Linked DNA regions of Mus musculus: regions 2, 3 and 4 are each reported to be linked to region 1. The links are microRNA targets in miRTarBase. Many come from high-throughput screens and were not tested one by one. Region 1 holds a microRNA gene; each other region holds the end of a gene's coding sequence.
Evidence for each region. The annotated mature microRNA mmu-miR-690 reads AAAGGCUAGGCUCACAACCAAA and lies in region 1 at 1,200-1,221, opposite strand. An mRNA with a match to its seed (bases 2 to 7 or 8) in the 3' UTR can be bound and repressed. Matches are read on the target gene's strand: a 7mer-m8 pairs with bases 2 to 8, a 7mer-A1 pairs with bases 2 to 7 and ends in A, and an 8mer does both.

Region 2: the mRNA of Madd is a reported target of mmu-miR-690. Seed matches in the 3' UTR shown: 7mer-m8 at 2,357-2,363.
Region 3: the mRNA of Gpcpd1 is a reported target of mmu-miR-690. Seed matches in the 3' UTR shown: 7mer-m8 at 1,981-1,987.
Region 4: the mRNA of Shroom3 is a reported target of mmu-miR-690. Seed matches in the 3' UTR shown: 7mer-A1 at 1,088-1,094.

What each region holds. Positions count from the first base shown.
Region 1 is chr16:28,598,741-28,601,890 of GRCm38, forward strand. Mir690 (microRNA 690) reads right to left here and starts at 1,303; the gene lies at 1,195-1,303. It also overlaps a transcript of Fgf12 not described here.
Region 2 is chr2:91,135,717-91,138,866 of GRCm38, forward strand. It overlaps Madd (MAP-kinase activating death domain), which reads right to left. Exons shown (of 35, transcript NM_001177720.1): 34 at 2,993-3,039; 35 at 1,644-2,685. The coding sequence ends at 2,581. Mybpc3 (myosin binding protein C, cardiac) reads left to right here. Exons shown (of 35, transcript NM_008653.2): 33 at 20-206; 34 at 388-425; 35 at 527-800. The coding sequence ends at 398. Among named protein-coding and RNA genes, the nearest start is that of Mybpc3, 19 kb to the left of the region's middle.
Region 3 is chr2:132,528,016-132,531,165 of GRCm38, reverse strand. It overlaps Gpcpd1 (glycerophosphocholine phosphodiesterase 1), which reads left to right. Exons shown (of 20, transcript NM_028802.3): 20 at 424-2,084. The coding sequence ends at 613. Among named protein-coding and RNA genes, the nearest start is that of 1700026D11Rik, 39 kb to the right of the region's middle.
Region 4 is chr5:92,963,992-92,967,135 of GRCm38, forward strand. Shroom3 (shroom family member 3) reads left to right here. Exons shown (of 11, transcript NM_015756.2): 11 at 365-1,768. The coding sequence ends at 733. Among named protein-coding and RNA genes, the nearest start is that of Gm36764, 44 kb to the right of the region's middle.

The DNA.
Region 1 (3,150 bases):
AATAAAACAAATATCCACTGTACACTGCACAATAACCACTAACAGGTCTGTAAACCTAAATGTGATGAGTGGCGTGCCCTTACGTCCCTAAGACACAGAGATTGAAGCACAGGGTGCTTTTACACAACTCCACCAGGTCTGCCCTACTTCTATAGTATGGACAAGTCCCTAAACCTGAACTCACAAGTTATTTTGGTAGCTCTCCTTCCATTGGGAAATGGGTCACTTCTTGTCAATGAAAGCAGAAAGTGTAAATTATCAGCAATCTCCATTCAAACAGTAATTCTCTTCAGCTTACCATATATAGGAAAGAAAATACATTAAAATGCCTTAGGCTGAAATTTAAGACCTGAGAGCTTAACTCTAGCTCAGTGGTTCTCAACCCTCCTAATCCCATCACCCTTTAAGGCAGTTCCTTACGTTGTGGTGACCCCCAACCACACAAGTATCTCATGATACTTCATGACTATAACTTTGCTACCATTATGAATCATATGTATCTTATATGCAAAGGCGTCATGACCCACAGGTTGAGAACCACTGCTCTAGCCACATGAATTTGATGACCACCTACTATGCACTGAGGATTGGGTGTGTGCCACTTCAGAAACAAATTTCCAGTCCAGCTCAACTTCCAAAGGATTTCAGATGCAGAACAACCTGGCCAGCATCTCATTATCATGGAAAATAATAGGGGCACTTAACTATGTTATCACCAAACATTTCTCTTGTGGAAATGGTTAGTGGGTGAATGGATACTTATTTTTTAAACAGCTGCAGTTTGGAAAATCTGTTACACAGCAACAAAGAGCTTGTACAACGAGCAGGAGACGCACCGATAAACTAACAGGCATGTCCACATAGTAAAATCAAACTAAGCAATAAAAAGATGATCTATTGTAGACAGAAGGAAGAAAATGTACTGTCTTTCTGACTGTGGGAAACAAAGTCATGTTCTGTAGCCCAGTGACTTGAGCTTGGTCCTGGGAACCCACACGAAGGAAGGGGAGAGCTGATTCCTGAAAAATTGTCCTCTGACCTCCAACTGTGAAGCCTCACACATCTGTGTGCACACAAAATAAAATAAAATGGTTTTGTTGTTGTTGAAGTTCAGATAGCCATTTTTTTTAATCACCTGACAAACCAGGTCATTGAAGAAACGTATTAACATCCTCTTAGGAGAAGAGTGGTTCTTATATTTTGGTTGTGAGCCTAGCCTTTAACAGCTGAGCCATCTCTCCAGCTGGAGGAGAATGTTTCTTACTAGCACTTTAATACAGCCAATTAGCTCCACAAAAACACAAAACAAAACAAAAGAAACACAGAAGAATCAACGTGGCCTTCAGGTTAAGAAAATAAACCACAAATAGAAAACAGTCTTTTGTCTTATAATTTGACAGATAGTTTTTTGTCCACTTCTTCTTACCATAGGCAAGGGATAATCATCACCCAGGCTGCTATTCTACCGACTCCAAACCTTGCACATTTCCCAGCTCTCAGCCTTAGGCTGAAATTTAAGGCCTGAGAGCTTAACTCTAGCTCAGTGGTTCGCAACCCTCCTAATCCCATCACCCTTTAAGACAGTTCCTTACGTTGTGGTGACCCCCAACCACACAAGTATCTCACTGCAAAAAGACTGGCTAGAAAAGAAGAGGAGACGAGTTATGAGTGATTCAGACCTGAGTGATGTCTCATGTCCAGTGTTTCATTTGCAAAGTCTCTGATAAAATGAAAATTATTATTATTATTGTTATTAAAATCTCAATCAAATCCATCAGATATCTCCTTCTTTATATATTTTTTATTATCTATTTTCCTCAATTACATTTCCAATGCTATCCCAAAAGTCCCCCATACCCTCCCTCCTACTCCCCTACCCACCCATTTCCACTTTTTGGCCCTGGCGTTCCCCTGTACTGGGGCATATAAAGTTTGCGTGTCCAATGGGTCTCTCTTTCCAGTGATGGCCAACTAGGCCATCTATTGATACATATGCAGCTAGAGTCAAGAGCTCCGGGGTACTGGTTAGTTCATATTGTTGTTCCACCTACAGGGTTGCAGATCTCTTTAGCTCCTTGGATACTTTCTCAAGCTCCTCCATTGGGGGCCCTGTGATCCATCCAATAGCTGACTGTGAGCATCCACTTCTGTATTTGTCAGACACTGGCATAGCCTCATACGAGACAGCTATATCAGGGTCCTTTCAGCAAACGCTTGCTAGTGTATGCAATGGTGTCATCGTTTGAAGGCTAATTATGGGATGGATCCCTGGATATGACAGTCTTTAGATGGTCCATCCTTTTGTCTCAGCTCCAAACTTTGTCTCTGTAGCTCCTTCCATGGGTGATTGCTTCCAATTCTAAGAAGGGGCAAAGTGTCCACACTTTGGTTTTCCTTCTTCTTGAGTTTCATGTGTTTTGCAAATTGTATCTTATATCTCGGGTATACTAAGTTTCTGGGCTAATATCCACTTATCAGTGAGTACATATCATTTGAGTCCTTTTGTGATTGGGTTACCTCACTCAGGATCTCCTTTAAGAACATTTCCTATCCTGGGAGAAATGCTTATAATTTAGTATGAACTTTGAAATACACGTTAATTCTCAAATCTATTAGGCATCAGGGGAGGGTTATTAGTGTATCATCATACAATCATTACTATGTCTTTTCTGATTTTGATATCATAAATGGTTTGACATTTCTATATTTCTGACTTTACTTTTCCATTTTGAAATACAAGCATGTATTGTTGTTGTGCTCTGCATAAGAAAAAAATAGTTATTTTTCAACTATGCATGATGGCTCATGCCTATAATCCCAACACTCAAGAGGCTGAGCCACAAGAATTACTGTGAGCCTAAGACCATTCTAGCCTACAGAGTGAAACTTTGGAGAGGAGGAGTGATAGAGAAAGAGAAAGACAAAGACAGACAGAGAGACAGAGACACAGAGACAGAGACAGAGACAGAGTCTTTCTTAATAGACACAAGGTTCTGACCATTACTGTGCAGGCAGTGACACGAGCATTTGGTCCCTGTATGCTGTGATTTTAGATCCCAACAGCTAAACCTGCAGAGGGGTTTCTCTAACAGGCTGGGAACACCATCTTGCCAGATTTACCTGAATGCTGGTACATTTTGGCACTGTTGG
Region 2 (3,150 bases), not on the chromosome of region 1:
CTGTTTACTTGATGTTCAGCCCAAGATTTCCTGGTTCAAGAATGGCCTGGATCTGGGAGAAGATGCTCGCTTCCGCATGTTCTGCAAGCAGGGAGTATTGACCCTGGAGATCAGGAAACCCTGCCCCTATGATGGTGGTGTCTATGTCTGCAGGGCCACCAACTTGCAGGGCGAGGCACAGTGTGAGTGCCGCCTGGAGGTGCGAGGTAAGGAGCCTTCTGGGCCAGGGCTTGGGAGAAAGCAGGACAGCACCATGGACCCTGGGCTTGGCTCTGCTGTCCTGGTTCAAGGAGTACCTCTGGCTGCTAGATCACTGGTCCTGACATGTTCAGTGGATCTTGGCTTTTGGAAGACTAGGGAATCACATGGTTTCCTTCCCTCTTACAGTTCCTCAGTGACCAGGATGGCTCCCCAGAGATGGCTAGGTACGTATTCCAAACCACCTAAGGCCAAGGGCCTAGGGTGGCTATCAGGAAATGGGGGTACAAGAAGCCACAGTTCATCCACAAGGCAGCCTATGTCTCAGGTACAAATGGATGCCAGGCTGTGTACCAGACCGGAAGGGAGTTGGAGGAGCACCCTTTTCTGCTACTGCATGTGTGTGTGCAACTGTGCATCCTGGAAGGACTGGCCAGCAGTGACACCAGGCAGGTCTGCTGGGTTCTGAAGAAACTGACCCTAAGGATAATGTTAATACTGGGAGCATAAAGTGTGTGGGCTTCAGAAGTGGTGACTGGGGACAGGCCCTTTTGGCTGGCTCATTGTGTAGGAGCAATAAAAGATCTGTGCCATTCCTGGGGGTTGATGTCTCCTGTTCATGTCCATGGGAAAGCATACAGCATTCGCTTGGTCACCCCACTCTCCAGTTCAGTGTCCTGGACTTGTGGGACATCAGCACTGGAAAGGATGTCAGCCTCCCTCCACCCTCATGCTCAGGTGAGGAAGTGTGGAAGTGAAAGCCGTTGGAGGCACAGGCATATGGGCCTCATGCCAGTAACCCAGGCAACACCAGCTGGGTGCTATACGGGGGACAGGGCAGTAGAGCCCTGTACTGTATTAGACATCAAGACTCCAAGAGCCCACAGCTCACGACCACATCTCATGGGACAGAGTGACTCCATGCAGCTCAGACACAGGAAATCACAACCTTCTCTGACTTCCTCCCAAGAGACCACATTTCCTTACAAATCTTGTGGCCGGCAGGTCTCAGAAGTGTCATGGCAGTGTGCTGGGTATTCTGCCCACAGGTGCCAGGGTTTCCCATGGCATAGATAGCCCATGAGGGTTGGACATGGGTTACCACTTTATTTTTTACAGAACCCTGGTCCGAAGGCCCTTGGGAGGCCCAGGTCACCACAGCACATCTGAACACACGTGTACAGGGTCACAGAGCAGTACCCCTGTTTTCCTGTGACTTCTTTATCAAGCTGTTCAGGTGTGAATGCCCAAGTCACCTCCTCTCTAGTGCCCAGAACATCTCAGGACTTTACAGCCGTAGTGTCGTAGGTGTTCCTTTCTGGCACCCCAGGAAGCCCAGGAGGCAGGAGGCCAGGGCAGGCTCTCAGTATGCCAACGCTGGATGCAGATGAGCTAGGGACAGCCTTCCTCAGGCCCGGGCTGAGAGGAGTGCACAGGAGCCCAAGTGGAGTTCAGGACATTTATTTCACATCACACAGCTGTACATTTTTCTATAAATAATGTGGAGCTGAAATATTTACATTCTCCTCCTATCCAGTCCATAGCTTTCTTCTGGCACTGAAGCCAGGAGACTCTGCCTGCAGACAGGCGTGCACTCTGGGCTCAGCTCAGCCCTGACCCACCTATCCCCGGCCCTTAGGCAGAGCAGCTGGTGCTGTCTGGGACACCATCACCTCATTCCTCCGTCCTCTCATGCCAAAGGCCAGGAAGACCACTGCACAAATCCCAGCTCGGCACATGGCAGCCACTCAGGGACACCCATCGATGGAGCTGGGGCAGGCAGCAGCATGACATGCACCCACAGTTTAGAAACTGTGAGGAAGCAGGAAGGTCGCCCACCACTTACTGAGCTTCCTTTGAACCTCCCCTCCTCCTCCCAGGCCCTCAGCCAGGAAGATTTGTCCCCAGGTGTCTTTCACTTCCCAGAGTGGAACTGTCCCAGGTGCCCCACAGTGCCAGATCATAGAGGACAGAGAGAAGACTCCTAAACTGGAGGATATAAGGACTAGGACAAGGGACCACAGTGCAAACATCTCAAGGACAGGCAATAGTGGGCTCACAGTGACCCCACAGACACACACACCACACACACCACACACACACACACACACACACACACACACACACACACACACACTCTGGAGCCCTGAGGGAACAGAAGGCTAGTCTGCTATTGTAGGAAGAGAAAGTAATGAGGCTAGCTTAGCCCCGTGACAGATGAACACAAAGACACTCAGACGTAAGAGAAGACCAGCTAGACCGTGGGAAGGAACTTGCTGAGAACACACACACATTCCCATCTCAGTCCAGCAGCTTCGGTGCTTAGGAGCAGCAAGAGGTGAGGGGAGACCCCTGGGCTTGGCCAGCTGTGGAACCCTTCTATCAGCTAGAGACAGGCCGAGGTGGGGTTCGAAGGTCTTCTTCACTGCTACGAACTGCGGCCACATACGAGAAGAGACACAACACAGAGTAGCAGATCTCGTGGGCCTGCAGGGAACAGAAGACCCGTTGGATCAGCCACACTGAGACTCCTTCTTAGGTAGAGGGTCAGCCTAGAGTACGAGGCCTGCCCTGACACTAGTGCAGGCCCCTGGGCTGAGTGAGCCTCAGGCAAGTCTCTGGAAGCCTTTCTCCTGAGAGAGGGGGGTCAGCACATGTACCCCAGATGAAAGGTGTGTTTGACTTGAGTTGAACCCCTGGCATCTAGTCCCCCGCGAGGGTCCACCCTTCTTGCCGGAAGGTTCCCAGGGAGCCCTGCGTGCTTCGGCCTGCTGTGGCTGGGACGCATACTCACCATTGGCGTCTTGTACTTGTGGCTCACCACTTCTTTAATTTCAGGAACTAAAACCGGACGGGCAAGAGACAAAACAGAAAGTTCAAAACTAAGAGCAACAGGGTCCTACTCCCCCGGGCGGCTGCGCCCGGTGCCAGGCTCCCCTTCCCTCTGTAGCC
Region 3 (3,150 bases), not on the chromosome of region 1:
GTCGTTCATTGCATATATAGCTGGTCTTTGTCTGTGAGCAGGCCTCACCTACCAGAGGCTCTTTCTGATCTCTGGTCATTTGTGAGTTAAGTCACTGGGGACAAGTTTCAGGGCTCAGGAGGTTTTCCTCCTGTAAACTAAGGCATCACCAGTTGTATACTTCAAGAATCACTAGAGCACTACAAATTCCATTTTCTGATTCAAGGAATTGTTTTATGACCGGGGTTACAAAAGAACAGTCTATTCTGAGAATTAATTCACCTAATGCTTTGATCTTTATCATTATCTTAAAGTAGAATAAAATACAATAAGAATGAATATTCCAGGTAGTTTTAAAATGGATTTTCTTAAAAAGTTAAGTCAGACAGTCCTTAATAAACATGAAATTACATTATTCTTATTGTGTGTCTGTTTTCACCATAGGATATATGATTGGATGCCTGAACAGCCAAATATATTCCAAGTGGAGCAGTTGGAGCGCCTGAAGCAAGAATTGCCAGAGCTTAAGAACTGTTTGTGTCCCACTGTTAGCCACTTCATCCCTTCTTCTTTCTGTGTGGAGCCTGATATCCACGTGGATGCCAACGGCATTGATAGTGTGGAGAACGCTTAGTTCACAGTGCACAGAGGACATTTAGGGGCACACCGCTGCCCTCATGTTTAGTTTTCACCATCGAGCACTGCTGTTGCCTCTTAGGTTTTTCAGTCCAATGAAGCAATAATGAAGTATTTTACTATTTCATTACAGGTCCCGCAAGAATATCAAGTATGCTATTTGTCACTTGTCCAGGTATAATTACCAATCAGTCTCTGTACAATAAGAAAATATACTGTTAAACATTTCAGTGAGATATCTAAGCCTATAATGGTGAATCTTCATTAAAAGTTGGAAATTAACGATATAAATATCTCATACTTAAAGTTCAGGCTTTTCATTTGATTAAGTCTTAAATCTTCAGTGCTTGAGAAAAATGATTGCATAATTATACCTGACCATGGAAAAACTAAGTACCTCAATGCATGCATTTGCACTGGTGGCTCCAGCTGCACAGGTCTGTGTCATCCATGTACATAGGTATCTTTACATGGTTGATAGGAACACGCACCATTTTCCTTTAGTATAAACCTCAGATTGCTGCCATTTCTCACCTGACCCAAGCCAGCCTGCAGATGAACCTCAAAACTTGTCTCATAAACCATTCAAAGATATTAAAGTTCCAGAATGCTGCAGGGTAACTTAATGTATAAAGTATTTGTAAGAAGTATATATTGCATATATAGTAGTGTAGATCAGAAGGTATCAATTTGACTCAATGCATGCTTTAGGTTTTAAGCATGAGATTGTACATGTTTACTGTTAAGTCCTTGCATCTGGTGCTAGGTGAGGGAGATGTTAAGGACATAAAATATTTTGTCGCCTAAAAAACAAAGTCTGTTTTAGACACTTTGAGTATGCTTATTTAGTGTCTCACTACCTAGTAAACATAAGTGTCTCACTACCTAGTAAACATAATTGCTGTGTGTTGCATAGTAGTTAAATTCCCATGCAGAAAAATAAATGTCCTGAATTCTCAAATTGGTATTCTTTATTGTTTAATATATATCATGTATGTAATTTATTTAGGAATGTAGATCTTACTGTATATAAATGCATGCTTTTAGGATTATACTAAGATTTCTTTAGAAGCAGATTGTACTGATAAAACTGTAACTTCAGAATGAATGTTAAATAAAATGACAGATTTATTTTTTTCCTCATCTTAAAATGAAATTTCAAGAAGGTATTTTGTAGAATGGTTTTATAATGGTATTCTGTCTTACAAATAGAAATTTTATTCTGCTTGTATGGGCCGACTCACCACACTTTCTCAGTGCTCCTGCTGAGGCAGTTTGTGCATGTATTGACAGAAGTTAAAAACATAAGACTTGAGATGACAAGTTGTACTTTTTTTTTTCTTTCAATTTTTGACACAACCTGTGTAGCCTTGGCTGTCCTGGAACTCACTGTGTAAGCCAGCTGGCTTTGAACTCTCAGATACATCTGCCTCTGCCTCCTAAGTGGTATTAAAGTCATGCGCCACCACCTTTGGCTTCCTGATTTGTTCTTAACAGTGCAACAATGGGGGTTTGGGTCAGTTCTTCACTGTGGGGAGATGGGGTCAGAAACCCTATGGTATTGTATTTGTAACATGATGTTTAGTGGAGCATAGTTTAGAAAATGGTCTTCTACAAGGGTATTTCTATATACTTTCCCATGTTGAATGAATCTTTAACATTTCCACATAATCAGGTACCTTCAGAAAATGTAATTGACTTTCTTCATAGACCTGTGTACCGTGTGGTGTGCTCCCTTTGCCTCTCTAGTTTTGTTCTGTGGCCATTCCCATGTATTTTCCCTCCTAGCTCCATTATTGTGTGTAGGACAGAAGAAAAGCACAAGGGTGCATCTTACAGAGGACTTGGTAGGGACTGGGCCCAAGCAGTTTAGTTTGCTGAGAAGAGCTAGGCTAGTGTACCATAGAGCCTGACCACTGTCTTCTCCATTACTAGTTGATTAGACTATGTGAGCTAACCTAGTGCCTCCATGTCACTAGCTGTCACCTTTCCTCTACTCAGCCATGCTGTGACTAGCTCTGCACCACTCCATCTGTGCCTATATGTCCTTTGCTTGGAACCTTCCCCATCAACTGGCCCACACTCTTGCTGCCTCATCTAACTATCCAGTGCCAACACTTTTGAATATTTTACTACTCCTTATTGCATTTACCAGTGATCTTACAGAGCCTTGGGACATTCCAGAGACACAGTTGGCATTCATCTTACCAACTTTACTTTTATTTCCACAGTAAATGAAATGTATTTATTTATTATGAAAGCACATTTTGAAGTGGCTTACATTATGACCACTGGGATAGCTTATTGATGTCAGTTATTACATGCAGATGTTTAATGTTAAATTATTTTACACTTTCTGGAAAGTTCTATGATTCTCTGGCATTTGCTCCCTATACTAGCTCTGCTCAGTATGGAGGCAAGGCATACAGCTCCCTCATGGAGGTGGTGGTAAGGATTGGTCTGACCTCTTGTCTGTGAACACAGAGCTCATTGGACTTGTGTGTGGTGCAGGGCAACTTGCCAGTCATGCACGAT
Region 4 (3,144 bases), not on the chromosome of region 1:
GGGTGCTAGGAATTGAATTCAGATGTTCTACAACAGTCAGTCTGTGCTCCGAACCAGGGCTCCATCTCTCCAGCCCCCTGCAAAGTTTTTATTCAGCAGATGGAGAGGTGGGGCACAAAGTACTCAGAGAACTTGAGGATTGGCTCAGTAAGTGTAGAGCTAAAAAGGGCAGGTTGTTACCACAGCCATTTACCCACCACAGAGTGTTCAACATAAGGAGAGAAAACAGATAGTAATAATGGCTATAGGTACATCCATCCATCCTTCGCACTGTTGAGTAGAGCACTGGTTTGCAGCCCTGTGAGAGGCAGGAGTCTGCCTCCTTGTCTTATGGCTGCCTTACCTGTTCATTTTACCCTGGCAGAGTTCTCTGAACGAGAAAAGGAAGGTTCTGGCTGGCCAGCATGAGGATGCACGGGAGCTCAAGGAGAACCTGGACCGGAGGGAGCGCGTGGTGCTGGATATCCTGGCCAACTACCTGTCCGCCGAGCAGCTGCAGGACTACCAGCACTTCGTGAAGATGAAGTCCACACTCCTCATTGAGCAGCGGAAGCTGGATGACAAGATAAAGCTGGGCCAGGAGCAGGTCAGGTGCCTGCTGGAGTCGCTTCCCTCGGACTTCAGGCCCAAGGCAGGGGCCATCTCCCTCCCTCCAGCCCTCACCGGCCATGGGACTCCTGGGGGGACATCTGTATTCGGTGGTGTTTTCCCAACGTTGACCTCTCCTCTTTAATCGCTCCTGTAAGCCCTGGGCAAAAGCTGCCACTCTCACCACTGTTCAATCTGAAAGCGATTTCACTACAAACTGCGGTTTGAGTTGTGGGTTACTGGGGGCTTCCTGAGTAACAGGAAGAGGCTTTCCAGGAATCTCTCTTGCCTTTCACGGTTGGTCTTCTGCGAGCTTGCACGCTCTGTGGAAGAGAGTCGGTGACCTGCGGCCTGATGGAGGGTGTCTGGCACGGGTTTCCCCAGGCTGAGGCGGCGGAGATGGGTGTGTGGCACCCTCAGGAATGTATCCACAGCGGCCTTCCTTGCTGGTGGGCAGTGCACCCTGATACCAGGGCACAAGTACCAGTCTGCAACACAAAGCCTTAAAAAGACACACACACACACACACACACACACACACACACACACACACACACACGTTAAGAAAACTGTAAAACCCCTGAACGTTTTTGTTATTTATATTTTTAAAAATGAAAAAGATCGTTATGTTTGTGTGCTAACCACTTACTTGATTCTATTTTGTGGTGGATGTAGGCAATTATGTTTGAGCTTTGTATTTCGTGAAAACCTTAATGAAGAATTCCAAAGATAGTCAAATTGAATATGGAGATTTTTGCGGGTTTTTCTTCTGCTCGTTTTGTGTGTATCTGCTGTTGGGTGGCTGTGTGCGCCACAGTAGGTGTGTAGAGTTGTACAGCTTTGTGTGGGTTCCGAGGCCTGACCCTGGGTCATCAGGTTCTCCCATCGCAAGTCTCTTCACCCACTGAGCCCTCTCTCCAGCCCCAGTCAGACGTTAATAAAGATGGGTGGCCATTCTGCACTTGTGCTATGCTGTGAGAGGTCCCAGTTTCCATGGTGATCGGGCCTTGCCACGTTTCTCCAGGAGGACGGCTCAGTGGTGACATCTCGGGGTGTGTTCCTCCTTGACCAGTTTATTCACAAAGACAATAGTTCCCAAGCCTGTGAGAGATGAGTCTAAGCCAGTTCAAAACCGAGTCCGTGCTGCCATCGTAGAGGAAATACACTTACTAAGCGACACAGTCAGGATGGTTTAGTATTTTTTAGAAGCTGGTTTTCCTAAATGTCAGACCTGCAGGTCATGAGAGCTGATTTCTATTGTCAAGTTTCAGTGAAAGCAATTGAGGGGTTCTGTGGTACAAGGTATAAGTCTACTCAAACAAATCAGGATGCCAGCGGGGCTGCAGATGTCCCAGGAGCCAGGCTGGGTACAGCCACTAGAAAAAGTAAGAGTGTCATGTTTTGGGCAGGTGACACACCACAAACTTTCTGCTTGTTGTTGACTTAGAGGCCACCCAGAAGTTTCTTGGCAGCCGTCAGCCAAAGCTCTGTTCTGTGGAGCTTATACACCGTTCAAGTGCTCTGACCCTGACAGGGTTCTTTTCTAATGCTCCGTTCAGAGGGGCCATCGTGACTCAGGAGGCCAGAGAGAAAGCCGTTTAGCAGCCACATTGCACTGCAAAGTTATTCTGGAGTTAATACTGTACGCCCAACTGACACTTCGTTAGATGTGGACCAATCAGAAGCCTGAAACCCATGCCTGTAGGTAACTGTCTTTCCCAGCCAATGCCTCCAGATGTTCTTAGTAAATGCCTTGGAGGAATTTTGGGGCTCCCAGAACACAGCACTGTTTAAAGTTACTCTTCAAGGACAGTGAGGTGGCTCAGCAGGTAAAGGTGCTTGCTGCCAAGCCTGAGAACCTTGCGTTCCATCCCTGGAACCTGCATGGTAGAAATAGAGAACCCACCTATGTGCTCTGGCCCTGTGCACCCACACACACACATGCAGTAGGCGAAGGTGAGAGAAAGTGCTTGTATTACAGGCAGGAGTTCAATCATCAAAACCCATATAAACCCAGCAGGACATGGGAGGGCACTGGTAATCCAGCACCAGGGAGGTGGGGACAAGCACACCCCAGCCTTGCTGGCCAGCCAGCGAGAGTCCCTACCCCAAAACATAGGGGAGACAGCCTGAGAGAGGACACCTAAGGTTGCCCTCTGCCTTCATACGTGCAAGTAGAAACACTTGAGGATGACTGGGGTCAAACCACACATTGTCAAGATGACTTCTCTGACTTAGACACATAAGTAATTTCACAGCAGAGTGACAGGGAATATTGGAACATTGTTAGGCCACCACTGAAGACCCTCCAGAGCATGGCATCTGTTCTGTTGCTGTTACCAATATCCTTCCCCGGTTACAATGAAATGAGTGAGGTGCCCGTGGGACTGTGAAATCTGATTCACGGGTGGATGTGGTTGGTCTTCATTGGTGCTGAACTTGACCCCAGCACTTTGAAGAACCACTATACTTTCAAAGTAGATTTTAAATGCCTCCAAGTAGAAAGGCCTGCGTTTTCATTCCTTTTCAGTTCTCTCTTCTCACTATTTAAAAAAA